Macaca fascicularis: one gene and its partners. The main gene of each other region encodes a partner of the protein of the gene in region 6 in a complex. Links are inferred from orthologs where the notes say so. Each region holds a gene or a part of one and is shown on either strand. Other genes may lie near its edges. The genes, in order: CEP290, TMEM67, CC2D2A, AHI1, B9D2, TMEM216 and TMEM107.

Region 1 (3,971 bases), on a different chromosome or scaffold from region 6:
TTTTCTTGGAGCCTGATGTAAATAAACATATGTGTGTGTGTGTGTCTTTTTTTTTTTAAATTTTTTTGAGACCCAGTCTCACTCTGTTGCCCAGGCTGGAGTGCACATGCGCAATCTCGGCTCACTGCAACCAACACCTCCCAGATTCAAGTGATATTTTTGCCTCAGCCTCCTGAGTAGCTGGGACTACAGGCGTGCACCATCAGGCCCCCAAAATTTTTGTATTTTTAGCAGAGATGGGGTTTCACTATGTTGGCCAGGCCAGTTTGAACGCATGACCTCAGGTGATAAGCCCGCCTCGGCTGATAAACCCAAACTGCTGGGATTAGAGGCATGAGCCACCGCACCTGGCCAAACACATGTAATTAATAGAGTGGTTGCTGCAATTAATACCTTGATTAATACAAATTTCACACAGAGCAAATGTTCAGTCCTAACTATCCTTACAATCTAAATCTTGATGCAGGCAGCCAAATCCAGAGAAGAGTAATTCTTTATTTCACTTAACTACTCTTTAATTTAACAACACGTTTTTCTTCTAGTTTCTAATATTTTTGGCAACAATCTTATCAAATTATTTTGTGACTCTAATCAAATAATATAGAGAATGAACAAAAGGGCATTTTAGATACTATGGCTCTTGTAAAATTTGACTGCTTCCTCTATATGATAGTTTCCTAACCACACTACTAGTAACATTTTTGAGTGAATGATTCTTTGTTGTTAGTGGGGTTGCCTTGTGTATGATAGGATGATTAGTAGCATCTTTTGATTCTACCCACTAGATATCAGTAGCACCCCCTAGCCATGACAATCAAAAATGTCTCCAGACATCGTCAAATGTCCCCAAGAGGTACAACTGTGAAAAACTGATCCTCTATATTTGAGAAATACTGCCCTATATTGACATATTGAAAAGACTAATATAAATTTTCACAGAAATCACATGTATTATTTATTTGTTTATGGTACAAATTCACTAGCATTGTATCTGTAACTATATATATATATGGAAGTGGATAGTATTAAAAGATTTAGTTAATTCAATTAATCTTATTGCTCATTCAGCATTAAGTCTGTTAAACTGAATTAATATATTGTTGTGCATATGGACACTGCATCCGTACTGAGGTTCTGACCAGTAAGAGGGAGACAGCATTAACACATGAACAAATGTTATTCTTTGAGGCTTCTTGCTTTTGGCAAAACTTAAGTCTAACTTTAAAGAGTCATCATCAAATTGTGAAAATATCAGGTTTTACTTAAGTAATCACACGGATCCATAATTTCCTAATATACATCAAAATGGGCACACAGAGAACACAAGTACAATTTTGGGCTACAATGACATGATAAGGTACACAACAATAACTTCAATTATTTCATGTGGAAAAAAATTATATAAGGTATTTCAAAAGATTATTATTTTCTACACCCACAAATTGGATGCAAAAGCACAAGTCATTTTATACTCCAAAACATGACAGAAATTTACTAGACCAAAAATAACATCTCATGTACAAAATTTAATAGAGCAAGGAAAAGAGACTGAAAATACACATATGCTGCTGCCAATTTTCCTTCTTTTAGAAAGTAATTTCTTAACAGTGGCAGCTCCCTAGTAAAACAAAAATAGTGTTAATTCTGTCATAGGCATTTGAATAAGAGTGTAAAGAATCAAAGGCTCTAATAGGGGCTTGAGAGCTGAAATGGAATTATAAGTCAAGTAGTTCAACTTTCTCATGTTTTTTCAGATAATAAAATTTAGGCCCATACAGATAATACTACAATGTTTAGAAACTACGAAACTATAAACCTATTTTGAGCTTAAAATCTATGTTCTGATAAATTGGTTGAACAATGTTAGAATCTCTATTATATGCCAGACACTCTTATAAGTGTGCAAACAAAAGTTTTTTATCTGTATGTTATTTGACAGTTTTCAAATTACTTTCATACATGGTATAATTTGACCTTCATATAACCACCCTGAAAGGGCCAGGGTAAGTACTGCTATTTCCATTTTAAAGATGATGAGGCCAAGTGCAGTGACTCAGGCCTGTAATCCCAGCACTTTGGGAGGCCGAAGTGGGCGGATCACTTGAACTCACGAGTTCGAGACCAGCCTGGGCAACATGGAGAAACCCTGTCTCCACAAAAATACAAAAAACTACCCAGGTGTGGTGGCACCTGCCTGTAGTGCCAGCTACTCTGGAGGCTGAGGTGGGAAGATAGCTTGAGCCCAGAAGGTCAAGGTTGCAGTGAGCCGAGATTATGCCACTACACTCCAGCCTAGGCAATAGAGCCAGACTTTTCTCAAAAATAAATAAATAAATAAAACAATAAAAATAAATAAATAAATAAGATGAAACTGAGGTTTGAATAAGGTAAAAATGAGATTCTGGAAAAGAATTTGTATTGGCTTTTGAGTCAGACTGACTAGTTTCAAATTATGGCTTTCCCATCTACTCCCAGGCATGCTATTAAGCATTCCTGAGGTCATATCCTCTCTATAAAATGGGGAAAATGATAACATATGTAATCAGTAGACCTGAGGATAAAAATGAGACAATATACTTAAAAGTCTTAGAACAGTGCCTAGCATAGCAAACACTTATGTTTATCTTCATTATATCATTATTATCATTTGCCTATTTTTACAATACATTTTGAAGACTTACCGTAATTTGATATTTTCAAATTCTTTTACTTTTAATTCAGTGATTTCTCTTTGTCTCTCTAAATCTTGTGACACTTTCTTTAGTTTGATCAAGAGTGAGGAGAGAGAGTCATCTTGTTCTGCTACTGTCTGCTCCATCTCAGCCAGACGAATAAAATGCTTGTTGGTAGGAACTGGAGTGGGAGACTGTTTCATTAAATCCTATAAAATATGAATATATTAGCAAACAGGCATGTATATTTCAATGCCATACTTATTCTATATTTTTAAATTGGTTCTTCAAATGATCAAAATACAATATCTAATCTAAAATTTAATGATTTAACAGATAATGAAGGCTTAAAGAAGACAGGAAATATAGACCTTATTCTTTGTATTTACAATAGCTAACAAAGTGTCTACATGTAGCAGGAGATCAATAAATGTTGACTGAATTAATGAAGTAAGGCTCAAATATGCTAAGGTTATACATTAAAAGATGAAAGACACATCATTTCATACATATGGAACAGAATGGTCAAAAGAGGCAAATATGAGCTGAATTCCGGAAGTTAAATATAGGTAAACTTATAGTGAATAGAATTTGAAAAGAAAGGCAGGTAAGTTCATAGAAGATTGAGTATATGGGTAAGGAGTATAAATATAATTTTGTGAACAGTGATGAGCTACAGGAGGAAGAATGATCAGAGCTACATTTTCAGAAGATTACTTTGGCAACAAAAAGCGTAACTTGTATTCCAAAAAAGGAGAAGATAACTGAATTTTAATGTATTTGGTCTAAAAATCAATAAAGAATGGAACAAAGTTCTTAGAATCTTACCCAAGCTGTTTGTTTGAATTTATTTAGTGAACTATCAGCCTGTAGTTCTAATTTGTGATGAAGAATATGAAGGTCTTCCTCATGTTTCTTCACAATTTCTCTTTGCTCCTGTTTTAAAGAAAATCAAAACTATATCTTAAATTGTGATTAAAATAAATTCACATTTTGAAGACCTTATATATTTTCTCTTTAATCTTCTAAAATTCCTTCGAGATGAGGAAGAAACAGTATCTCCATATATGTATGTATTTAGACCGGTAGGCATGTTCCCTCGCACAGTGTTCAAGTTGACAGGCCCAGCCTCAGTTCATAATTTATTCTGAACATTAGAATAACACGTATCTATCATCTTTTAACTTATTTCTAGAAAAAATTAAATGTCAGCTTTCCCCCACAAAGTTCTAACAAATCTGATTTCTACTGATTACCAGTGTGATATATTTCATTCCCCCCTATTGCCTCAACCCTCAC
Region 2 (2,831 bases), on a different chromosome or scaffold from region 6:
TTCTCTCATGTTCACAGGGATACATTTTAAAATATTTAGAAAGGCAACTTTCTTCTAAGTCTAAAACTAAGGAAACATCAAAAGAATCTACTCGCTAGGGAGAGAATTTCTGCACAATTCTAGATCACTGTCAAGGACTAATAAATTGCATCTTACTCATATATACTTCTTTGACATAGTGGAGAATATTTAGTTGATAATAACACCATTTCAAGAACAGATTTGCCATTTCTTGAGATCTCTATTTCAGGGTCCACACTCATACACAAAGTTGCTTTTCATCTACACTGGTAGACGAGGTGTCAAAGCTGCAGGCTAAAGGGGGCTTCCCTTTGGTGCTGAGCCCTGAGCTAGCTCTCCAGTGCCTGTTTTTTTGTTACTTAACATCTGGTGGAGAGGGTGGATGGGACTCTAATTACTGTTCACTTGTAGCATCTAGGAGACTAGTAGTTAAATGTCTTCCTATAGGATTCCTCTTCCATGTATAATCAAGCAACTGATGCCCTCCACTAGACCTCAGTATTTCATTGACCCTAAAGGACAGAGTACAGTTGTTTGAAATGTTATTCCTCCTTTTGGTGGGGTTAGTCATATTCTAAACCTTTACAAAATTGTAGTAAAAGTAGACATTGTTACTCTCTGCTATGAAAATATCTACTTCTAACATATTTCTCTCAAGAAAATGAAGGGAAATGTAGAAAAATTTTTAAAATTTACCTCTTGTTGTAGATATGTAAGGAAGGATGCTAAAATAAAATTTTGGCAAGCCAAATCCACAACACAGAAGAACAGCAGATCAAAAATAAGAAGGGTAGCTTCATTTCCATAATACAGGACACTGCTGAAAGAATAACCTTCATCTATTAAAAAAGTTTAGAAAATATAAATTAGAAATTTAAAAAAGGAACAAGTCTGTGATAAATTTCTGGTGACAAAATCTGGATATTTAAAAATAGCACATTAGAAACATACTATATACAATAATTCATGGCTTACACAAAAATAAACAAAATAATTAAATTAAAAATAAACAAAAATTTTAAGATTTGCTCATCTAAAAGAGGTTAGTTAAAAAACTCATAACACCTCCTATAAAGCAGTTTTAACATTAGGACCAATGGTTGGTAACTGCTAGTAGTGTAAGTTTCAAAGACCAGTTAATAAATAGCCTTTCTCTATTTCTTTATGTAACTAAAAGCTAAATTAATCTTACAAACATTCCCTAAGATAGAGTATATTAGAGAAAAAACCCAGCAAGGCACAGAATAGTACACAGTGTTCAAGAGTTCAATAATTTATTTCAAATAGTCCCCTTAAGGTTTTGCTCTAAGTTCTCTTCTCACTCCACCAGCGGGTTTCATCCTTATTGGGATGTGAACACCCTTTTAAAAAGATTATGATGAGGCCGGGCACAGTGTCTCATGCCTGTAATTCCAGCACTCTGGGAGGCTGAGGCAGGAGGACTGCTTGAGGCCAGGAGTTCAAGACCAGCCTAGGCAACATAGTGAGACTCCATCTCTACCAAAAAAAAAGAAAAAGGATCTGGTGGTGCACACCTGTAGTCTTAGCTATTTGGGAGACTGAGATGGGAGGAGTGCATGAACCCAGGAGTCTGAGGTTATAGCGAGCTATTAATATGATTGCACCACTGCACTCTAGCCTGGGCAACAGAGCAAAAACCTGTCTCTAAACAAACAAACAAACAAACAAAAAACTACAAAAGCCTGATGAAAGCTAAAGACCCTTCCACCAGGAAAAAAAAAAACAAAAAAAAACCATACATATACAAGTCTTGCCAACAATTTCAGGGAAATCCAGAAAACCACTGAAGCAGCCCGGGGATACCCAGTTAGGAACATCTGCTTTATACAAGGGGGCATCTGGAGTGCTGGTAATGTTCTCTCTTGAAAGGGTACTAGTTACAGGGGTATATTCAGTTTGTGAAAATTCACTGACCTATAAGTTATATCCTTACAAAATATGCACATTATACTTGCATATATAATCTTAAAAATAAACCTGTTTTACATACTGTCTCTTGGTGATTTTCTACTAACACTGCTCCAGCAATGACTTCATATGATAGCAACTCCTCAATTTATTGTGTGCTTCTACTTTCTCCTACGACCTGGTCCCTTATATTTAATGCCTACTGGATACCTCTTCCTAGATGTCCTAAAGTACCTCAAGATGCAACATACTGAAAACTAAATTCATCCTCTTTCCCTCAAAACCTGGTCCTCCTTCTGTATTGCCTCTGTTATTGAAAGGCACCACCACCCACTTAGTCACACAGCCAGAAGTCTGGATAATTTTTGACTAGTCTTTTCCCTTAACATTTCTGGCAATCCTTTCTTCTCTAGCCCCACTGCTACTGCCTTAGCTCATAGTCTCATCAGCTCTTGATGAAGACGAAGATAGTGAGGCCAGGAGCGGTGGCTCACACCTGCAATCCCACTTTGGGAGGCTGAGGTGGGCAGGTCACTTGAGGTCAGGAGTTCGAGGCCAGCCTGGCCAATATGGTGAAACTCCATCTTTACCAAAAACACAAAAATTAGCCAGGTGTGGTGGCAGGCACCTGTAATTCCAGCTACTCGAGTAGCTGAGGCAGGAGAATTGCTTGAACCTGGGAGGCGGAGGTTGCAGTGAGCCAAGATTGCGCCACTGCACTCCAGCCTGGACAACAGAGCGAAACTCCATCTCCAAAAAAAAAAAAAAAAAGAAGAAGATAGAGAGATGGAAGAATACAGTTAGAAAGAGGAGGAAGAGGAAGGAAGACTGAAGGAGAAAGGAAGAAAAAAAGCAGGAAGAAAGAAGGTGACTATTGTATT
Region 3 (3,971 bases), on a different chromosome or scaffold from region 6:
GGCAGTGTGTAATCTTCCTTCTCCTGCCCCACCTCTGCTTTGTGGTGAGCAAAATCACCCAGAGAAAAACTGCAGAGAAGACAGAAAAGGGAAGCTAGCAAAAGGGGCTACAGAGGATCTAAAACTTTGTTCAAAAAGACTAAATCAACCTTGAAGATGAAAATACTTTAAAAGTGTCCGGGCAGAGCAGAGCATGGACTATAGGGAAGGGGCTTCAAAATGTGTGTGATTTAAAATGTGTGTGATTTTAGGAAAACAGAGCTTCTGGGGCAGTGAATAGGCAAAAGGAAGGGAGAAGTGGCCTTTGGTGGAAAGTGTCATAATCTCAGAAGATGTTCACAACTGGAGACTTCTATCAACAGGTGAAGCCCAATTCTCCTCCATTTGAGAGTGCACTATGCCTCGTGACTTGCTTCTCCTGAGTAGAATATGGCAGAAGTGACAGTGTGTGGCTCCTGAGACTAGGTCATAAAAGGAAGTGTGGCTTATTTTTTGGGTTCTCTCCTAGATCACTTGCTTTTGGGAAGTTAGCTGTCATGTCAGGAGGACACTCAAGCAACACTGAATGAGCTGAATGCTGATTTGCAGAACGATTGTTATAGTATAAGCTAAAATATTCCTGAGCTTCTATAAATCTAGGTAAAAGAAGTGCATTTCTGGGAGGCATTTTTCAAAGGAGGAGATTATAAGCAAAGCAGAGAATTAAGCCAATTATGTGAATACTAGAATATCCTAGGGTGTTTTCATTATTTTTAATGTGGTAAAATATATATAACATAAAGTCCACCATTTTAACATTTTTTTTTTCTTTTTTTTTTTTTTTTTGAGACAAAGTCTTGCTCTGTCATCTAGGCTGGAGTGCAATGGCACGATCTCGGCTCACTGCAACTTCCGCCGCTCGGGTTCAAGTAATTCTCCTGCCTCAGCCTTCTGAGTAGCTGGATTACAGGTGCCTGCCACCACACCCAGCTAATTTTTGTAATTTTAGTAGAGACGGGGTTTCACCATGTTGGCCAGTCTGGTCGCAAACTCCTGACCTTAGGTGATCCACCTTCCTCGGCCTCCCAAAGCTGGGATTACAGGCCACCGCGCCCAGCCCATTTTAACCATTTTTAGGTGAACAATTCAGTAGCATTAAGTAAATTCACGTTGTGGTCCTACCATTACCACCATCTGTCCATCTTCCCAGACTGAAATTCTATGCCCATTAAATAACAACTTTGATTCCTTCCTTTAGTCTCTGACAACCACCATTCTACTTTCTGTCTCTATGATTTTGACTATACAATGTAGCTCATATAAGTGAAATCACAGAATATTTATTCTTTTGTGACTGGCTTATTTTTCTTAGTGTAATGTCTTCAAGGTGTATCTATGTTGTGGCATGTGTCTGAATGTCCATGCTTTCTGAGGGTGTATACTATTCCATTGTATATTTATGTTTATCCATTTATCTGCCAGTGAACACTTGGGTTGCTTCTACCTTTTGGCTTTTGTGCATAATGCTGCTATGAACATTGATGCACAAGTATATGTTCAAGTTCTTGTCTTCAATGTTTTTGGATATATACACAGAGTGAAATTGAATTGCTGGATCATATTATAATTCTGTGGTTAACTTTTGAAGAACCACCATACTGTTTTTCACAGCAGCTGCACTATTTTACGTGGTTGCAAGCAATGCATCAAAGTCCAATTTCTCCATATCCTCTATGACACTTGTTTTGTTTTTGATAAGAGCCATTCTAATGGCTGTGCAGGGGTATCTCATTGTGGGTTTGATTTGCACTTCCCTTATGATGAATGGTGTAAAGTATCTTTTTATGGACTTATTGTCTATTTGCATGTCTTCTTTGAAGAAATGTCTATTCAATGCCTTTGCCCATTTTTAAATGGTATATTCTCCTTTTATCTCACACATACCACCCACAGTTGCAGAATTTGAGTTGTAGCCTGAGTGTGGTGTTTGGGCACAAAAAGCTGCTTACTTTGTAAGGTTGCGATAAGAGAGAGACTGAGGTTTCATTTGCCTTGCAGAGGAACATACTTTGCACATGGAATAAATACTAATCATTTTGTGGAGTCTAGCAAGAAAAATCCACAAGCCACATTATTTAATTTTTTTTTTCACAAAAGAAAGATAAACAGGTTTAATCAAGGTTCTTCTTACCACATTGTAGGGTCTAACCCAGAGCACAGGGAGCCATGTGAATTCAGTACTTGGGATTTCAACTCATGGGGAGTGTCATTTTCCTGGTGGTGGTGGGTTTTCTCCTCAGCCACTTTCTTTCTTGCAGGTATATCACCCTTTTCCTCCTAGCCCTCCACCCACACATTACCATCCTGATATTAAATACCATTTCCTTTCCTCTTCCTCGTGCAGGTGGTTCTTCTTCTTCCCCTTCCTCCTCCTCTTGATTAGTTCCCGCTCTATGTCTTGCTTTTGGCTTTTCCTCTGATTCTTCTGGTTCGGGATCAAAGCTGAAAGTAAAGAAGTTGTAGGCCTCTTCTGGAGAAGGGAAGCCAGGTGGAACCTAACGAAAAGCAAGGAGCAATCGCAAGTTCCCATTTATAAGCTGTAATGGGCTCTGCACAATTAACTGACAGCTGGCTTGATGCTAATGGGATCAGGCGTATTCCAGGCCTCCGAAGCATACTGTCTTAGTTAAAGGTGTGAGATTACTGGTAATAAACTTTAATACCTGCCACAGGCAGTGGGAGGCCTCCTTTAATAGTAACTCTAATCAGTGACTTTTAAAAAAACCCAGCAATTATTTACATTCCAATAAGTACATAAATATATTATTTATAGTAGTAAACACTTTAGATAAGGTTATTAAAATGACAAACAGTGGATTTATTGTTTTATCAGCCAATGCTGAGATAGTTTTTTGTTTTATTATGAGAAATACAGAAATTTTTAAACAAATGACCTTTTTTTGTTGTTTCTCTTTTTGAGTTAGTACTCTCCTTTTTTCCTGTAATGAAAGCTGGGGCAACTTCAGAGCTGAACAAATTGTCTCATCACCAACATTTCCTGTCTTTCCATGCACCCCCTCTTCCTCAAGTCAGGGAATATTCTGATCTCTCCAGCTAGTATGAAAGTTGGAATCACTTCTCATACTTTTTTCTTGCAGACTGCATGGCAACAGGAGTCAGGTTGTGTATGTAGTCATTTATTTATTTTTAATTTAGAGATGAGGTCTCACTCTGTCACCCAGACTGGAGTGCAGTGGCGCAATCATGGCTCACTGCAGCTTTGACCTCATGGGCTCAAGTGATCCTCCCATCTCAGCCCCCCAAGTAGCTGGGACCACAGGCATGTGCCATCATGCCTGGCTAATTTCTGTATTTTTTGTAGAGATGGGGTTTCGCCATGTTGTCCAGGCTGGTCTTGAACTCCTGTGCTCAATCGATCTGCCTGTCTTGGCCTCCCAAAGTGCTGAGATTGCAGGTACGGGCCACCACACCCGGCCTGTAGTCATTTCTCATTGGATATTTGTAAAAAGCACAAATGAACAAATGGTTTAAAAAGACAAGATTTCTCACCTGGGGTTTAGGCTTGATTTTTCGTGCAGAATCACGGAACTTGACTCTTGAATAACTTCGGGAATCAATTTCTTGTTGAGTACTTTCTACCTCTTTCCCTGGCTATATGAGTGGAAAAAAATGATGCATAAGCCATTTAAACCAAGAAACTTAGGCTGTTCTAAAATGAAGGTTAACCCCCCTGCCCCAAAGGCTTATCTTCTGACTGCTGTTGCATCTTATCATTCCTAAGGCATGGAATGCTGGCAAATTTCAAATGCAGTCATGCCCTCCATAGCGACAACCTGCAGAACTGCATGCATGACAGAGGTCGTACAGACTATAAATATGGTATTTTTACTCTACCCTTTTTATATTTACATAAAAAAATACTTACCATTGTGTTACATTGCTATGGTATTCAGAAAAGTAACATGCTCTTC
Region 4 (4,666 bases), on a different chromosome or scaffold from region 6:
TGAAACTAAAACCCTACTAAGAATGAGCAGCCAGAGTCATAACTTCCCTTTGGAAAAGCGGGTACTTAAATGCAGTTGTGAGGACAAATGAAAACTACATAAAACACCTACAATGCATAGCTCCTAGAAGGAGCTCAATATATGTTATCCATTATTCATTCAACAAATGTTCATGAAATGCCAACTATTTCATAGATACTGTGGTAGATACTGGGGATAGAAAAAATACAATGTAAACTATGAAAATATAGAATGAGTATGTAAAGTCTAATATACGGAATGAATATCCAAAATCTAATAAGGAGTAGGAGTATTTGAAGGAGTCAGTCAACCTGCTTAAGATTCGAAGGATGGACAACATTTGACTGTGATATGCAGTAGTGTAAAAGGAGGAATTTTCAGGAAGAGAGAACAATATGTGTAAGGACAGGGCGTGCAAGGCTATGGATTGTTTTTCATAGTACACATAATTCAATGTTGCACAAAACTGCATGATACACATGATTCAATATTGCATAAAATTGGAACAATAAGCTAACGAGAGATGAAATTAGTCAGGGAGATGGAGCATCTTGTATCCTAGGCAAAGCAATCATTTTCTCTTACACGTTGCCTTTCAAGAATTTTCAGCAAGAGAGAGCCATTATCCGATTTACATTTTTAGTCAGGACATTCTGATAGCAGTGTGGGGAATTTTAAGAGTCAAAACTGGAGTCACAGGACTGGTAAAGCGCCCACCTGAGGAATTTAAAAAGAGAGAATGAATATGCTTTGGTATAAGATGCATTTAGGATACTCTACAGTTCTTACTAAAACACTGGGAGCAAGTGTTTGACACTTGATAGTGCAAGATTACAGCAAGATAGTGGTGGCTTACAGCAAGATAGAAATCTAGGAGAGTAGGTTTAGAATGCAAAGTTGAACAGCTCAGTTTGGTACACAGCGGATTAGTAATCTTTCTCGTTGCTTCCTCAAAGGATTTAGGGAAGCACATGGCATAGAGATATAGTTTGTAAGGTGTGGCAATGCCAGTGAGAATGGAAAAGCTGGCCTCCGTAAACTCTCTCTCTGTACAAACGAAGCAACAGGTTACAGCGCGTGGCTGTAGGTACAGGAAATGGCGTGTATTCATGAGTCCACGAGTAGCGCAACTAGTATTTTTCCAGCCCTGGTGACTCAGAGCTGAAGATGGCGCCTGCGGCAGAAATCAGAAAAGTGGGAGGGAGCATTAGGTACAGAAAAGTATGGCGTTTTAACTTTTGTTTTCCACACACAGGGAGATAGCTCTAAAGGAATCGTGCATAATTTTTTCTTAAGATTTTGTCTGTAGTACAACTTCATTTTCCACGCTTTAAAATCATGTTTTCTTTTGTGGGCGCGACCGCGTGGGGAGTGACAAATCTGTTTCTTTGCCTCATTCATTGATTTTCTTATTTTGGGCGACTTCCATAACAGCCTCCCCAGTTTTCCTTTGCCCCGTCAGTTTTTCCCTGCGCTTGCTACAATTCTAAGGCGGAAAGAGTATTTTTGGAGGTGAGGGCGGGGAAGACTCAAGCTCTGTGGGAGCACCCGCGCATTTCCGACTCCCTTCCCGCTCGCACGGCCTCGGAGGCTGGAGGCCGGTAAGGTCCCCGAAGCGCGCGCCCACCAACAGCCTGAGGGCCCCGGTGCAGGCGCCGCGCGGCCCCTTCTCCCGGGCTGAGGCGAAGGCGGTGGCGGCGCGGGGACGGGGGCGGGGGCGGGGCCGCGGTCCGGGCCTAGCGCGCGAGACGCGTCGGTCGCCATGGGAACGGCGGTGTAGGCAGGCGCTGACGTCAGCAGGCCGCGAGTCGTCCGCACTGCGGCACAGAGCAGTGGCTTGCTCTCCGAACCCGGGTCGCTGGCGGGTAAGGTGGCTTCGTGGCCGCCTCACTTAGCGCCCGCGCCGCTGGGCGCGGGGGAGTCGATTTGCACTGTTCCGGGTGTCGGCTTGGGCGGGACGGACGGTTCTGCCTACTCCTCCTCTCCGTAAGTACCTCGTGGGTTCGCTGGTGGCGGGAGCGCGGGCCGGGGTGCTGGGCCTGCCCGGCCCTCTCCGGGGCGGCGTGTCGGGGCTGCTGGAGTCCGAGAGCGCGGGGGCTGATCGCGGATTGACCGGGGAGCGTGGGCCGGGTGTCCCGGAGGAATGCGATTTCCCGGAGTCCTCAACGTACTTTTCCGCTTCTTTCACTGGTCTCGGTGTCTCCGGAGAGTTGAGCATGGTGTTCTGATAGGGAATTCAATCTTTGCCTTTCCTACTCCCGATTCTTGTTTAAATGCTTTTAAATCAGATGCGTACTGAGTGTGTTTATTTCCTTTTAGAGTGTCATCCTGGGGCTGAATCTTCAACCTGTCAAAGCCTACTTAATTACGTCTGAGAAAAGGTGATCAATTTGTTAAACTTATAAGAGCCAGATTATATTAATAGGGTTGTTTCGAGATGCATAAAAATAGAATAAAAATGTAGACCATTTAAGCATCCTTATCAAAGGTTGTGCTGCGTTTGGCATTCCTGTGAAAACATCTAATGTGAAAATAAAGTTTTTCCCTTTTGAGAAAGAGATGCCAACAGTTTTTTCACCTGTTGCATTAGCAGTTACTGTTATTGCTTGGGTTAGGAGGAAGATTGCTTCTTATGAGTACTCTGGGAAATTTTTTAAAGAATGCTTGAAAAAATTAAAATACCAAAAGTGTTATTAAACCATACTTAGAATCTTGTTTATGAAGAATAATATTTATGAAGTTAGAATCTTGTGTACTTATGAAGAATCTTGTTGATCTATTCATTGAATTTTGTGTACAGGATTTTTGTTTGTCTTTTTTTCCCTTGCGATAACATTTGGTTAAAGAGGGAATTATCAAGCCTCTCAATTTTTTCTCCCATTGATATTGAGTCACATATTGGCTGATAATCAGGTGGTCTGTAAAATAAAATGAGATGAGGTGTAATCCATTTAATTTTCCTACATAGTATCTCTTAGAAGCTCCTGTGAAAGGGTTTGTGAGGGAGAAGTTGTAAAATAATGGAATATATAAGATTCGGAGGTGTCTTTTAAAGTCCGACCTGAATTTTCGCAGATAATGTTACTAATTAAATATTAGTCATTAATTCTATCATATGTTTGCTGTAGTACACATTAAGATTTAGAGATGGCTGGGCACAGTGGATCAGGCCTGTAATCCTAGCACTTTGGGAGGATCAAGAGTGGGTGGATCACTTGAGGTCAGGAGTTCAGTATCCGCCTGGCTAATGTTGGTGAAAACCCATCTCTACTAAAAATACAACAATTAGCCGGGCGTGGTGGCGCACACCTGTAGTCCCAGCTGCTAGGGAGGTTGAGGCAGGGGAATTGCTTGAACCCAGGAGGCGGAGGCAGCAGTGAGCTGAGATTGTGCCACTGCACTCCAACCTGGGCAACAGAGCAAGACTTTGTCTCCAAAAAAAAAAAAAATTAGAGATTATTTCTATAATGTATTTGCTGTGTTATTAAATAATATTAGTATTTATTCAGTTGTGTATTAAGCTATTAACAGTAAATAATTCTATGATTTCTGTATTTTATTAATAATTACTTATTTTTAATACAATAATACTGGACATAAAGTAATTTTATTGCAGTGTACTCATTACTTTGCTTTTTGGTATTTTCTCCTTGCAGTACTAAAACAGGTGCCATTTTAAATTCCCAGACAAGGAAAAACCAAGGATTAGAAATTAAGTAGCTTACCCAATGCCACACATCAGTAAGTGGTGACACTGGAGGTCAAACCTGAGTCTTTTTTACTCTAGGACCGTTGCTACTGCTTCGCTTTGCTTTGCTTCTCGTGTTTTCTCTTCTCTCTCCTCTTTTCTTTCATAGTGCCAGATACATAACTATAGAGAGCATTGGCGTGGCCTCCAAAGCTAGCAGTTTGGTGGGAGACAGAACATTTAACCAGGATGAAAATTCAGGGCTGAGGTAGAGGGAGTTACAAAGATTCAGGCATCCTGGGAGCACAGAAGAGAAGTGCTTCACTGCCCTTCAAGGTGCGAATGCTCTCTAGAGAAGATACTTGCCTTCAAAGGATAATGAGGAGTTTGTTAGAGTGACAAAGGAGGAAGGACATTTTTCAGGAGAGGGGATATATGTGTAATGATACAAAAGCAAGAGAGGACGTGGCACATGTGAAGGCCTGGAGGTAGTTTCACATGGCTGGAACACAGCGTATGGTGTGAAGGGGACATTTCATAAATGGCCTTGGACCTCAATGGTAAGGACTTGATATTTTTTTCAGTGTGTGATTGGGAGCTAGGGAAGAATTTTAAGCAAAGAAATGACACCGTCACATTTGAATTTTAGAAAATTACACTGATTGCTGTATAGATGATGATTTATTTTTTAAAAGGGTAAGGTGATAGTGGCATGGAAACAATCTTAAAACAAACAGCATAATCCTTCCACAGTGTTTTTGTCCCAGAGTTACTGTCTCATGTCACTGCCTTTAGGGGTGGTGGAAAGACAGTTGGAAGAATTCTGTAAAGAATTGTCTACATGTCCCTTCTACAGGGGTCACCTTCCATTCACCCCTCAGCCCCAGCCTGCTAGGTTTCTGCCCCTCCATAAACAGCTTTGACACACGTGACTTCCTTCTTGCAGATTCAGTGGAC
Region 5 (4,766 bases), on a different chromosome or scaffold from region 6:
ATGCCACCATGCCCAGCTAATTCTTTGTATTTTTAGTAGAAATGGGGTTTCACCATGTTAGCCAGGCTGGTCTCAAACTCCTGACCTCAGGTGATCTGCCTTTCTCAGCCTCCCAAAGTGCTGGGATTACAGGCATGAGCCACCGTGCCTGGCCTGCTTATTTATTTTCTGTCTCCCCTACCGTATGGCCCAGGAAAACAGGGACCTTGCACACTGCTGGATCTCCAAGACCACAAACCCAGCTCTTGGTATACAGAAGGTGCTCAATAAATGTTTCTTGGACAAATTAGTGATCCTAGGAGTTGGGAGCTAATATAATCCCCATTTAACAGGTAAAGAAACAGGCTCTGAAAAGGTAAGTTCATGAACATTTATTGAGCACCTGCTGTGTGCCAAGCACTGTTTTCCATGCTGGTGACATAGCTGTGACTATAGCAGACCAAGGTCCCATCATGGAACTGGATTCAGACTCAGCTCTAACTACAGAGCCCAAGCCGTTCATCCAACTGCCTCAGTATTCTTGGCTGGGTCAACACCCCCAGCAACTCCCTGAAGTAATAAAAATCAGGTTAGTCATTACTCCCTTCTGGGCTGAGTGAGGGAAGCACCAGGCCCTCAGTCAGGCTGCTTAAAAGCAAGATTTCCCAAAAGCCCTATGAAGAACAGATGAGGAAACTGAGGTTCTAAGAGGGGATGGCATCTGCCCAGGGTCACAGAGAAGGTGAGTGGTGGGGTGGAACCTGGAAACCAAGTCTGACTCCAGAGTCTGCCTCTCTTCCATCAACTGGAGGGTCCTGATTTCCTGGGAATCTCAACTTCTACCTCACTTACCTGTAGAATCAAAAAGGACCAGAGGCCAGGGGCAGTGGCTCACACCTGTACTCCCAGCACTTTGGGAGATCTAGGCGGGCGGATCACTTAAGGCCAGGAGTTCGAGACCAGCCTGGCCAACATGATGAAACACCATCTCTACTAAAAATACACAAATTAGCTGGGTGTGGTGGTGGACACCTGTAATCCCAGCTACTCGGGAGGCTGAGGCAGGAGAATCACTTGAACCCAGGAGGCAGAGATTGCAGTAAGCCGAGATTGTGCCACTGCACTCCAGCCTGGCGACAGAGTGAGACTCTGTCTCAAAAAAAAAAAAAACGGCCAGGCGCGGTGGCTCACGCCTGTACTCCCAGCACTTTGGGAGGGCGAGACAGGTGGATCACGAGATCAGAAGATCGAGACTATCCTGGCTAACACAGTGAAATCCTGTCTACTAAAAATACAAAAAAAACTAGCCGGGCATGGTGGCGGGTGCCTATAGTCCCAGCTACATGGGAGCCTGAGGCAGGAGAATGGCGTGAACCTGGGAGGTAGAGCTTGAAGTGAGCCAAGATTGCGCCACTGCACTCCAGTCTGGGCAACAGAGAGAGACTCCATCTCAAAAAAAAAAAAAAGGGACTAAGACTCAGGCCTGAAGACATGATAATGCCCAATGGCCACATCTGTTTCATGGACATTTATCTGTGCCAGGCAACAACATACCCCAGGCTTTACAAACAAGACCCCATCAAAGTCTTGTATGAGCCAGGCAAACACTGAATGGGAACTTCATATTCCAGCCCTATTCCTATTCTAAGTGCTGTTGATATTTGTTTAGTACTCATGACAACTTCAACAGGTAAATATTTCTATTACTCTCATTGTACAAACAGAGAAGTCGAGGTGAAGAGAAGTGCCCAAGGTCACATAATCAGCCCAAGGGTGCATTAACAAGCAATAACTAGTTTTGAACCCAGGCAGTCTGTGCTCTTAACCTCAAACCTGTGCTGCTTCTTGGCTGCTATTAGCTTCACTTTCAGACAAGGAAACTGAGGCTCAGAGAGGTCAAGTCCAAAGGTCTCCAATTAATAGAAGGGAGAGTTAGTATTTAAATCCAGATCTGGCAGCCCATGGCCCTAACCATTACACTATACCATGACTCTACAGGGCCTCAGTTGGGGAAGCATGAACAAAATTACTTTCCTGGGATGTGGTGGCTCATGTTTTTAATCCAAGCACTTTGAGAGGCTGAAGCGGATGGACTGCTTGAGCCCAGGAGTTTGAGACCAGCCTGGGCAACATAGCGAGACCCTGTCTCTACAAAAAGTTTAAAAATTAGCCACACTTGGTGGTGCGTGCCTGTAGGCCCAGCTTCTCAGGAGGCTGAGGTGGGAGGATCACTAGAGCCCAAGAGTTCGAGGCTGCAGTGAGCTATGATCACACCACCTTACTCCAGCCTGGGCGACAGAGAGAGACCCTGTCCGTAGCCCCTGCACAAACGAAAAAACAGATGGGAGCTTGAGACTCACGTGGACAGGGTGTGGGCTAAGCCTGGAGTACAGAGAGCTGATGGAAGATGAGGTTAAGGCGCTGCGTTAACAGGTCGAGGAAGGAGCATGCAGCCTCTAGGCTAGGGGTCTTGGTGTGGAAATTAACCAGGCCTGGGGGAATACCTGTGTGAATGCCCCACTTGCAGAACAGGCTACTTTCCGAGAAACCGCTGGCCCCCATGATCTGCCCGATCACGTGCACCTCAGCCATGGCCCTGGGATGGGAAAAAATATAATCACAACCCTGTGAGGTAAGTATATTATCTCCATTTGACAGGAGGGGAAACTGAGGCCCAGCAAGTAAAGGGTAGTACTAGGATTCCAAGCTAGCTTCCTCACACCCCTGAGGCTGAGGTCTTGACCACAGATCCTAATTGCCAACCCATGAAAGCCTGGAAAAAATGGGGGGACCCTTGTCTGGGGAACCAGCATTTAACTCTGCGAGGTCTAAAATACCTTCTTTGGGTTCAGGTCAGCGGAAAGCCCCGCCCACGAGCGAAAAGACCCGCCTTCCGCGTCATGTCAGCCACCCCGCTTCCCTCACCCAGCAAGCTCTATAAGGCGCATGCGTTGAGTTCCGGGCCGACTTAGCCACGCCTCCAAGCGCAGCGCATGCGTTATTCCTACCTTGGCGCACTTAACGGTTAGGAGGGGCGAAAGCGGCAACGGGGGTTGTAGTTCATGGGGTTGAGTTGACTCGTTTTTTTCTCCGCGGGCGCCTACCAGGCCTGGCTCGCGCCTTTCCCAGGACCTTCCCGGCTGCGAGAAATGGAATCCGCGATATTCCGCGTCCGCGCTCGCCTTGGGTTCCGTGGTTGTTGCTGGAGCAACAGCAGGCTCCTCCCCTGGCTTTGTACTCGCCCTCCGCGCCACTGATTGGTGCTAGCCGTCCCCGGGAGGCGGGGTGAAACTGTGATGGACATTTTCCTCCTCTCGCTCCATTTTGGGAAAATAGCGTCTCTCCAGCTACGGCAAAGGGTTCCGCCATTTTGGCCGTGGCTAGGAAGCTGCCATGTTGAGTGTGGCTGAGGAAGTTTGAGTGCAGTTTCTCCCAGATGTCCTCTTTACCAAAAAAAGCAAATCCGTAACTGCTCCGTGCTGCGTGAGGACCCCACCGAAGAGCTCTCTATGGTCCGGGATCACAAATCAGAGACTGAACTATGACCAAGGAGGAATTCCTTCCAGGACCTCATGTACATCCCCTACCTCATAACTGGAAAACAAAGCAAAAAAAATCACTCCTCATTCACAGAGAGTGGAGAAATTGGGGAGTGGGTTCTGCTTCCGTTTTAGAGTTCCCCTAGGTTTTTCAAGGACAAGGAAGGAAGTTGGACTTACCCAACTTCTACCAAGCTACTACCAAGTTCACTGTTAAACTGCTTGAGTCTGAGCAAGGAACCGTTGGGGTAGCGAAGAGAAATGAGGAACTGGGATCCCCTTATTTGCAGAAAATCCTCTTTTCTATTGATTGATTTCTCAATCAAGAAATGGAGATGTCCCTGGATGCCATCATAGATGCCATCATTTCCCACATCAAGCCAGTCATCAGGTCCCATCAAGACTCCATAAAAGGGTCGCACTGTGTAACCCAGGCTGGAGTACGGTGGCTTGATCACAGCTCACTGCAGCCTCTGAAATCCTGGGTTCAAGGGATCCTCCTACCTCAGCCTCCCATGTAGCTGGCATCACACACATGCACCACCACGGCTGGCTAATTCTTTTTTTTTTTAAGAGATGGAGTCCTGCTGTGTTGCTGTGTTGCCCAGCCTTTGTCTTGACCTCCTGGGCTCTAGCTAGCCTCCCAGTTTGCTCTCCCATACTGCCGGGATTACAGACCTGAGCCACCCAGCCAGGCCAATAGACACGAGTATTTAAAAGCCACCCTTGGCTAGGCTCATGACTGTAATCCCAGCCCTTTGGAAGGCTGAGGCGGGAAGAGCTGTTGAGGCCAGAAGGTCGAGTATAGTGAGACCCCCATCTCTACAAAAATAAAAAACAAAATAATGCATATATCAACTAGTGAAATATTCCAGTGAATTGTTTAATATAAATGTTATCCTACTGAAATGTTGCCCCCTCCTTATAATTTTGGATTTTTGTTAGTTTAGTTTTTTTTTTTTTTGAGATGGAACCTCGCCTTGTCGCCCAGGCTGGAGTGCAGTGGTGCGATCTCAGCTTACTGCAACCTCTGCCTCCCAGTTCAAGCAATTTTCCTGCCTCAGCCTTCCAAGTAGCTGGGACTACAGGCGCACACCACCACACCCAGCTAATTTTGTAATTTTAGTAGAGATGGGTTTTTTATATCTTTCTGGATGCTGTGTGGGTGAGGAAGACAGCTCTAACCTTTCAGCTCTTGGGGCCTCTGGTCCCCTAGTGGTGGCACCAGCCTTGCTCTCTCTTTTCTCA
Region 6 (2,702 bases):
TTGGCTGGGCACGGTGGCTCACGCCTGTAACCCCAGCACTTTGGGAGGCCAGCAGGCAGATCACGAGGTCAGGAGTTTGAGACCAGGCTGGCCAGCATGGTGAAACCCCGTCTCTACCAAAAATACAAAAAAAAATTAGCCCGGCATGGTGGTGCACACCTGTATTCCCAGCTACTTGGGAGGCTGAGGCAGGAGAATCGCTTGAACCCAGGAGGCAGAGGTTGCGGTACGCTGAGATCGTGCCACTGCACTGCAGTCTATCCAGTCTAGGTGACAGAGTGAGACCCCGTCTCAAAAAAAAAAAAGCCAGGCATGATGGTGTGTGCCTGTAGTCCCACCTACTTGAGAGGCTGATGTGGGAGGATCGCGTGAGCTAGGGAGGCAGAGGTTGCAGTGAGCCAAGATCATGCCACTGCACTGCAGCCTGGATGACAGACTAAGACACTGTCTCCAAACTTTAAAAAAAAAAAAAGTTAGTTTAGAATACGCTTCTTCCAGTTACACATGGCCCACTGGAAAAGAGCTAACAATTCCCTGTAAGAAGAGTGAGACCAGATGCTGACTTTGGGGCAGAGTGAAGCAAATAAGCAGTCTTTTGCATGATGAGAGACTTGAATAAGATACAGAGGATGGCAGTGCATTCAGGGTTTAATTTAGGCTGCAGCTTGGGGAAGAAAATCAGTGGTCATCACTGCCTTTGTGTGCACACTGTATCACTAAGCAAAGCTCCTGAGAACAAACCGCTGGGATAGTCACGACCCTCTCTTGGAGTAGATGAATTCTAGGGACAGGTGCCATAAGGAAAGGCTGCAACCCCCACAACAGAAAATACATATTTATTAAAAATAAAGTTAGTTACATGATGACAGTAGAAAAATAACACTATGAGCTACTAAAAACGTTCTGGAAACTCAGTCTCCGAGGACTGGGGTGAGAGGCTTTCGCATCACTCTGGAAACCCACCAACATGAGGCTCTCTGTGCTCATGTGGGACAGGTATGGCACAACTCGTACAGGGAGCATGTGGCTCAGGTCCTGCTTGAAGCCCAAGGAGCCTAGATGGTCCACACGAGATGCTCTGGCCACGGTGATCAAAGAGGAGAACTTGAGGTCAGCAGGGGACTGGTTCTGAGAAGGGGCAGGATGGGAATAACCTTGCCCGTCCCTATGCTGGAGTGTAGAACAGTCTCTCGGGTTGATGTCCTGGTTTAGAAGATGGCACCCACTGGCCTTATGCTGAGTTGCTTGCCCAAATGTATGTGCTGAAGAAAAGCCACACAGCCTTTCTCAGGATAACTTGCCCCACCAATTCTCACTGGTGTGGCTAAAGTACCAGAAGCAATATGTGTGGTGTCAGCCTGATGGGCTGCTGGCTGAAATTCTGTACTTCAAATTCTGTCCATACTGATGGCAGAAAGAAAGAAAATGTTAAAAGACCAGTGAATGAGAGTAGCTGGCCTCAACTGTTCTATATTCCAAGTCTCCTGGCCCCAAAGAATAGGGAGAGTATCCTCCCTGAGTGGGAATCGATCTACCTACCCTAAACAGGAAAGGCAATCCACTAGCCACCCCTTTCCCCCACTAGAGAAAAGTCTTCTAGATCCCTTAGGCTTCAGAAGAATACTGAATCCCTCCCTGGGATGGGAACCCAACCCTCTGGTGATGAGAAATGGTCCCTCAGCGAAGCAGTACCTGGAGAAAGCAGCCAAGGTGAGCACCTCAAGTAAAAGCTCTGAGCCACAGAAGAAGAGCAAGATGCCGTTCATGATGGCTTCCAGGCGGAGTACATAGGTCTGCAGCAGCAGGTAATAGGAGGCCATCATGGCAGATGGGAAGGTCAAGGCCACGCTAATACTGAGTGGCATCTTTCGTTGGCAAAGGTTTCCCTTTGTACCTGTGTCAGACAGAACCCATGGAGTCATCTCCAAATGGTCTGCTTTTCCTGGCCCAGGGGAAAGATGTGGGATATGTGATGGAATGGCAAGGCACAAAAAATGATCCTGAGTGGGGTGCACAGATTTATAAATGGGGTCCCACTGTACTGAAAGTTTGAGGCTTGGCAGAGTTACAAGATTAAAGTCACTTAATCCAGAGGTCCTGCTTCCAGTCTGGTCCCCACTCAAGAGACAATGGGATCTTTATTTGGGAAAAAAATTTTTTTTTATTATAAAAATAATATATAATCATTTAAAAATTTTTAATGGCCGGGCACGGTGGCTCACGCCTATAATCCCAGCACTCTGGGAGTCCGAGGCGGGCGGATCACAAGGTCAGGAGATCGAGACCATCCTGGCTAACACAGTGAAACCCCGTCTCTACTAAAAATACAAAAAAATATAGCTCAAGCCTGTAATCCCAGCACTTTGGGAGGCCGAGACGGGCGGATCACGAGGTCAGGAGATCGAGACCGTCCTGGCTAACATGGTGAAACCCCATCTCTATTAAAAAATACAAAAAACTAGCCGGGCGAGGTGGCAGGCGCCTGTAGTCCCAGCTACTCGGGAGGCTGAGGCAGGAGAATGGCGTAAACCCGGGAGGTGGAGCTTGCAGTGAGCTGAGATCCGGCCACTGCACTCCAGCCTGGGTGACACAGCGAGACTCCGTCTCAAAAAAAAATAAAAATAAAAATAAAAAAATAAAAAAATTAGCCAGGCGTGGTGGTGGGCACCTGTTCCCAGGTACTCCAGAGGCTGAGGCAGGAG
Region 7 (4,610 bases), on a different chromosome or scaffold from region 6:
GCAAGTCCTGATTACGCAGAGACGTTAATCACGTTTCATGCATTCTCCAATCATCATGTTCTCATCTGCCCTCCAAAAGAGGAACAGGTAAGGATTATCCCACCTGACGATATTTCTAAAGAGCCGACATTCCGCACTCAGTCAAAAAGATTCCGTTTACAGCTAGGGTGAGTTCACGACGCGTTGGTATGAGTAACCCTACTACTTAGCATCCTTCCAGTTGTATTGCCATATTTGCTTGCACATTTTTAAAAGAATTTTTTCATTCGGCTGCCGAAAAGGAATACATTTCTTTTTCCCAGAATGCTCCGATCATTTACGTGCTGGACGTTCTAACTGTAAGCACTTTCTATTTACATATCTCCGCCCACTCCCTTCCGCCAGACAACTACCGTAATAACCAAAATAGAAGCGATACCAAGTATCTTACGGTCTGCAGAACTAGAAAATAACGTTGCTTCTTTTTTTTTCTTCAGTAGTTTCGCCATCTCAATTGTGCCTTGAAAACTGTATATGTCTTAATCTTACTACAAAACATATTTTATTACAAACCACTAAATACAATGCGGATAATCCCAGACTCAAGACGTAATTATTCCAACACATATCCTCCAGCAGAAGCAGTTTCCGAGGGGAGGACCGAAGCCTATGCCTTCCTTCTTCCAGGAATACGAAGCGGCCCTTGCCCCTGTAGCCTTCGTCCTTAGGTTCCCGTCATGAAGGTGCTCAGAAAGGTTTCTTTTTCAGCCCAAAGACGGTGACGAATAAAGTCATTTCAGTGACAGCTGGAAGGGCACTACCGAGGCAAGTGGTAAATTCAGAAACCCTTTCAATATAAATACCCAAATCTCCAAACCAGAGACCCCACCCCTGAAAGTGTAGGACAGGTGGCATGGGGTAGGGAATGAAAATTCAAAAGACTACAGGATGTTAAGTGGATCTGGTATCTCACACATAGAGGAAAGGGCTGGGTGGGGGAAAAACCCTCAGGTTTAGGGTCAGCCTTCCTCCCTCATTCCCGAATATTGGATGCTACCACACCTGCAGAAGACAAAAATGTACCAATACGTAGTGCACTCCCAACGCTCGAATATGAAGAAGGACAGGGCCACGGATGCACTACAGTGAGCCCCAATGGCTTGGGAAGGCACCAGAGTTAAGGAAAGTCTTTGGATCGACAGATAGTGAGGGGTCAGAAAAGGCCAAAGGCCAGTGGTGGGGTTGGCATCTGCATTCAGGTTCATCGTTTGCTCCCTCACCATATTGCAAGGGCTAGAGTCAGCATCCCCGACTTCTGAATTTTAGGACAGTCATGTGAGGAGAGACCAGAAGTGACTGCGCAGATGGGATCTCAGGCTACCCTACTCCATATCTAGGGGCCAGCCTGGATCCTTCAGATGAGAGGTAAGAGTAGGCTCTCCTGCTATGCCACACAGGAGTGCTGACAGCGACTTGATATGCGCTGGAATCAGCCTCCAGTGTCCTGGTCCTCCTGGTCCACAATTCTCTGACCCATGTGCCTGGCTTCCGTTGCCTCTTCTGAGTTCCCAATGTGCTTTATATCTTTCGTTTTTTGCCAGAGTCTTGCTCTGTCGCCCAGGCTGGAGTGCAGTGGCACGATCTCAGCTCACTGCAACCTCTGCCTCCTGGGTTCAAGCAATTCTCCTTCCTCAGCCTCCTGAGTAGCTGGGATTACAGGAGTGCACCGCCACGCCCGACTAATTTCTGTATTTTTAGTACAGACAGGGTTTCACTATGTTGGTCAGGCTGGTCTTGAACTCCTGACCTCAGGTGATCCACCTGCCTCGGTCTCCCAAAGTGCTGGCATTACAGGCATGAGCCATCGCACCCTGCCTGTGCTATCTTTACACACTCCCATAGCACACTGCTTATCACACTGAATTACAGATGTGTATCTACCTCCTCCTCATGGTTAAAAAAAAAAAAAGTGGAGTTTTTATTATTACTATTTATTTTGTAGACACGGGGTCTAACTATGTTGCCTCCTGCGCGGGCCTCCCACAGTGCTGGGATTACAGACGTGAGCCAACGTGCCTGGCCAAAAACTGTATTTTACTCTCATTTCGGAATTTTAAGTGCCTAGTAAACAGCAGGATTTAGCACATGGTTGAAGATCTTTGAACTGGAGAGACTGGCTACAGCAGACACTATTGTGTCAGGTGGCTGAAGGGAGTCCTGATAGAAATGGGTCGTGTGGGAAAGGTGGGCAGGCAGAAAGGATACAGATGAGGCTCTGGGTGCTGTTGAACATGGAGACTCCTGAGAGGAAACCGGCCAGCTCCACTGCAAAGAGGCCCAGGGTGACAGAAAGCGCGGCCACCAGCCTGCAGAGAGGAAGTGGACTGGCTCAGGCCTTTGGACTTCTTCTAAGACCCCTCCACTCCCACCACCTCTTCGTTCTGGCCACCCCGTCCTAAGAGCTCACTGAATGTCCTGCTTGTCATACTCCTCGGGGGTGAACCTGAGAGGCAGGCAGGCCTGAATGTTGCTGTCCTGGGAGCAGGGCAGAGAGGAAGAGAAGTGAAAAAGGGGCAGGCTGCTGGGCAGGCCTAGGGACGGCGGAACACGAGAAAACCCAAGTGGGTAAGACACTGGGAGAGGGGCAGGGTGGGGCGGGGACGACTCCGAGATGGGAATGGGGGCGGACGGAGGGCAGCCGTGGGTCTTACCCGGGACCAGAATAAGGTGATGACGACCACCAGATGCGCCAGGATCGTCAGGAAGCGAGAGGGCACAAGCCCTGAGACCCGGCCCATGGCCCTTGGGAACAAGAGCGGCGGTCTCTGAGGCTGGAAGTTCAGAGACTGCGACTCCCGCAAGTCCACCAGCAAGCGGACAAATCTAGACGAACTCCTCCTTTCCGCCAGCTCAGGCACCGCCCAGTTGCCTTGGTAACCGCGTACGCGGGCGTGCTGCCGCGTTCTCGGAAAACCTCGCGAGAGCAGTACATTCTCCATCTGCTGTGGGTCTTTCAGGGCTAACTCAGGTCAGGGGTACCCGAAGGAGCTTCTAACCCAATGGCTGGGTACCCGTGCGCAGCCAGGCCCTTTGTTTCTCAGAGGGTGAGGGGTGGCACAGCCGCGCAGCGCCCGATCTGCCCACGCAGGGCCGACGAACGGAAACCCACCCTGGCCTAGCCTGGGGACACCTCTGCTTCCGCGGTTGCCCACGCCGGGAGCGGCCCCCAGCCCCAGCTACGCTGCCCAGTTGTGGATCACTTGAGATCACTCCCACCGCCACGCCGGGCTGAGGTCCCCGCCATGCCGAAGACTCACACCCGCTCCCCTTCCTCCTCTCCTCATGCCTTTAACTTCCCACCAAGCTGGGCCTGAGAAACAAGGGACCCGAACGTGGAGAGGCCGGTGTTCCTGGACTGCTCGGCAGTTACAGATTGTCACAGAGCCCCTGGTTGTCTGAGGACCCTAGGCCTGAACCTTCCTTGAGGAAGACTGATTTCTCTCAGACTACTTTGCTCAGTTTGGTGAAGGATTTGCAGAGTGCAAAAAGTGGTCCGCGTCCTTAAACTAGCGTGGGAATAAGAGCAAAGCAAGGTGGCTGGAAAGGTGGGAGTGGACGAAGGGAATGGTACAGTCCCTGCGTCTCTGGGAGGCTTGGAGCCTACGGGAAGGGAAACTCAACTTAGATTTCTTTATCTCTTGGAGGTGCTGGACCTCCGACATTGCCCAGCTACAGTCCAGGAAGCTCTTATCACCGGCGACGTCATGACCTTTGGGCCTCAGCGCAGGTCCCTGCAGATCTGAAAGTTCTTCTCTAATTGCTCAGTCAAGTCCCATCCTCAAGGAAACTCCCGGCCCATTTCCCAGGAGAACAATATCTTCCTACTTCCCACTCGACGTCTCAGTGCCTTTAGCCAGACTAAAGTACAAGCCCAAGAGGCATTTCTCATTCCTTCAACAAATATTTTTATATATTTATTTATTACCTAGTAATAGTATTCTAGTCAGGGAGATCAACAACAGACATGCAAACAAATAAATCCGTAAGATAATAGGTGCTACAAACAGGGATACGCGGGCCAGGCACAGTGGCTCACGCCTGTAATCCCAGCGCTTTGGGAGGCCCAGGAGGGCGGATCATCTGAGGTCAGGAGTTCGAGACAAGCCTGACCAACATGCTGAAACCCCATCTCCACTAAAAATACAAAATTAGCCGGATGTGGTGGCGCGTGCCTGTAATCCCAGCTACTCGATTACTACTACTCGATTAGCTACTAAGGCAGTGGAATCGCTTGAACCCGGGAGGTGGAGGTTGCAGTGAGCCGTGCCATTGCACTCCAGCCTCTGCAACAAGAGCACAACTCCGTCTCAAAAAAAAAAAAAAAAAAAAAAAAGGAAACGCTAGAATTATAATTCTATAAAAGTAGGGCATTTATAATTCTATAAAAATAGGGCATTTATTCTTAAACTTTATTTTAGAAACTTTGGCCAGAAATTGACCGGGAGTGGTGGTTCGCGCATATAATCCCCGCACTTTGGGAGACCGAGGCAGGGAGATCACCTGAGGGCAGGAGTTTCAGACCAGCCTGGCCAACATGGTGAAACCCCATCTCTACTGAAAAAAAAAAAAAA

The links.
Region 1: TMEM216 (region 6) and CEP290 share a complex: the UniProt entries of both Homo sapiens proteins name them as parts of the tectonic-like complex. The link is inferred for Macaca fascicularis from reciprocal best matches to the Homo sapiens genes TMEM216 and CEP290.
Region 2: TMEM216 (region 6) and TMEM67 share a complex: the UniProt entries of both Homo sapiens proteins name them as parts of the tectonic-like complex. The link is inferred for Macaca fascicularis from reciprocal best matches to the Homo sapiens genes TMEM216 and TMEM67.
Region 3: TMEM216 (region 6) and CC2D2A share a complex: the UniProt entries of both Homo sapiens proteins name them as parts of the tectonic-like complex. The link is inferred for Macaca fascicularis from reciprocal best matches to the Homo sapiens genes TMEM216 and CC2D2A.
Region 4: TMEM216 (region 6) and AHI1 share a complex: the UniProt entries of both Homo sapiens proteins name them as parts of the tectonic-like complex. The link is inferred for Macaca fascicularis from reciprocal best matches to the Homo sapiens genes TMEM216 and AHI1.
Region 5: TMEM216 (region 6) and B9D2 share a complex: the UniProt entries of both Homo sapiens proteins name them as parts of the tectonic-like complex. The link is inferred for Macaca fascicularis from reciprocal best matches to the Homo sapiens genes TMEM216 and B9D2.
Region 7: TMEM216 (region 6) and TMEM107 share a complex: the UniProt entries of both Homo sapiens proteins name them as parts of the tectonic-like complex. The link is inferred for Macaca fascicularis from reciprocal best matches to the Homo sapiens genes TMEM216 and TMEM107.

What each region holds. Positions count from the first base shown.
Region 1 is NC_088385.1:95,016,071-95,020,041, forward strand, and holds part of CEP290 (centrosomal protein of 290 kDa), read right to left. Parts: intron 3,609-3,971; coding exon 3,501-3,608; intron 2,882-3,500; coding exon 2,682-2,881; intron 13-2,681; coding exon 1-12. UniProt on the Homo sapiens protein: Involved in early and late steps in cilia formation. Its association with CCP110 is required for inhibition of primary cilia formation by CCP110.
Region 2 is NC_088382.1:103,464,393-103,467,223, reverse strand, and holds part of TMEM67 (meckelin), read right to left. Parts: intron 861-2,831; coding exon 718-860; intron 1-717. UniProt on the Homo sapiens protein: Required for ciliary structure and function. Part of the tectonic-like complex which is required for tissue-specific ciliogenesis and may regulate ciliary membrane composition.
Region 3 is NC_088379.1:14,667,803-14,671,773, reverse strand, and holds part of CC2D2A (coiled-coil and C2 domain-containing protein 2A), read right to left. Parts: intron 3,652-3,971; coding exon 3,550-3,651; intron 2,535-3,549; coding exon 2,358-2,534; intron 1-2,357. UniProt on the Homo sapiens protein: Component of the tectonic-like complex, a complex localized at the transition zone of primary cilia and acting as a barrier that prevents diffusion of transmembrane proteins between the cilia and plasma membranes.
Region 4 is NC_088378.1:39,537,164-39,541,829, reverse strand, and holds the start of AHI1 (jouberin), read left to right. Parts: upstream 1-1,824; 5' UTR 1,825-2,007; intron 2,008-2,340; 5' UTR 2,341-2,402; intron 2,403-3,878; 5' UTR 3,879-4,269; intron 4,270-4,666. UniProt on the Homo sapiens protein: Involved in vesicle trafficking and required for ciliogenesis, formation of primary non-motile cilium, and recruitment of RAB8A to the basal body of primary cilium.
Region 5 is NC_088393.1:48,502,835-48,507,600, forward strand, and holds the start of B9D2 (B9 domain-containing protein 2), read right to left. Parts: upstream 3,184-4,766; 5' UTR 3,084-3,183; exon of another isoform or gene 2,988-3,083; intron 2,864-2,987; exon of another isoform or gene 2,817-2,863; intron 2,576-2,816; 5' UTR 2,572-2,575; coding exon 2,484-2,571; exon of another isoform or gene 2,340-2,483; intron 1-2,339. UniProt on the Homo sapiens protein: Component of the tectonic-like complex, a complex localized at the transition zone of primary cilia and acting as a barrier that prevents diffusion of transmembrane proteins between the cilia and plasma membranes.
Region 6 is NC_088388.1:12,645,342-12,648,043, forward strand, and holds the end of TMEM216 (transmembrane protein 216), read right to left. Parts: intron 1,943-2,702; coding exon 1,693-1,942; intron 1,405-1,692; coding exon 1,389-1,404; 3' UTR 821-1,388; downstream 1-820. UniProt on the Homo sapiens protein: Part of the tectonic-like complex which is required for tissue-specific ciliogenesis and may regulate ciliary membrane composition.
Region 7 is NC_088390.1:8,261,315-8,265,924, forward strand, and holds TMEM107 (transmembrane protein 107), read right to left. Parts: upstream 2,903-4,610; 5' UTR 2,778-2,902; coding exon 2,691-2,777; intron 2,515-2,690; coding exon 2,447-2,514; intron 2,364-2,446; coding exon 2,245-2,363; intron 1,405-2,244; exon of another isoform or gene 1,306-1,404; intron 1,139-1,305; coding exon 1,042-1,138; intron 797-1,041; coding exon 727-796; 3' UTR 525-726; downstream 1-524. UniProt on the Homo sapiens protein: Plays a role in cilia formation and embryonic patterning. Requires for normal Sonic hedgehog (Shh) signaling in the neural tube and acts in combination with GLI2 and GLI3 to pattern ventral and intermediate neuronal cell types.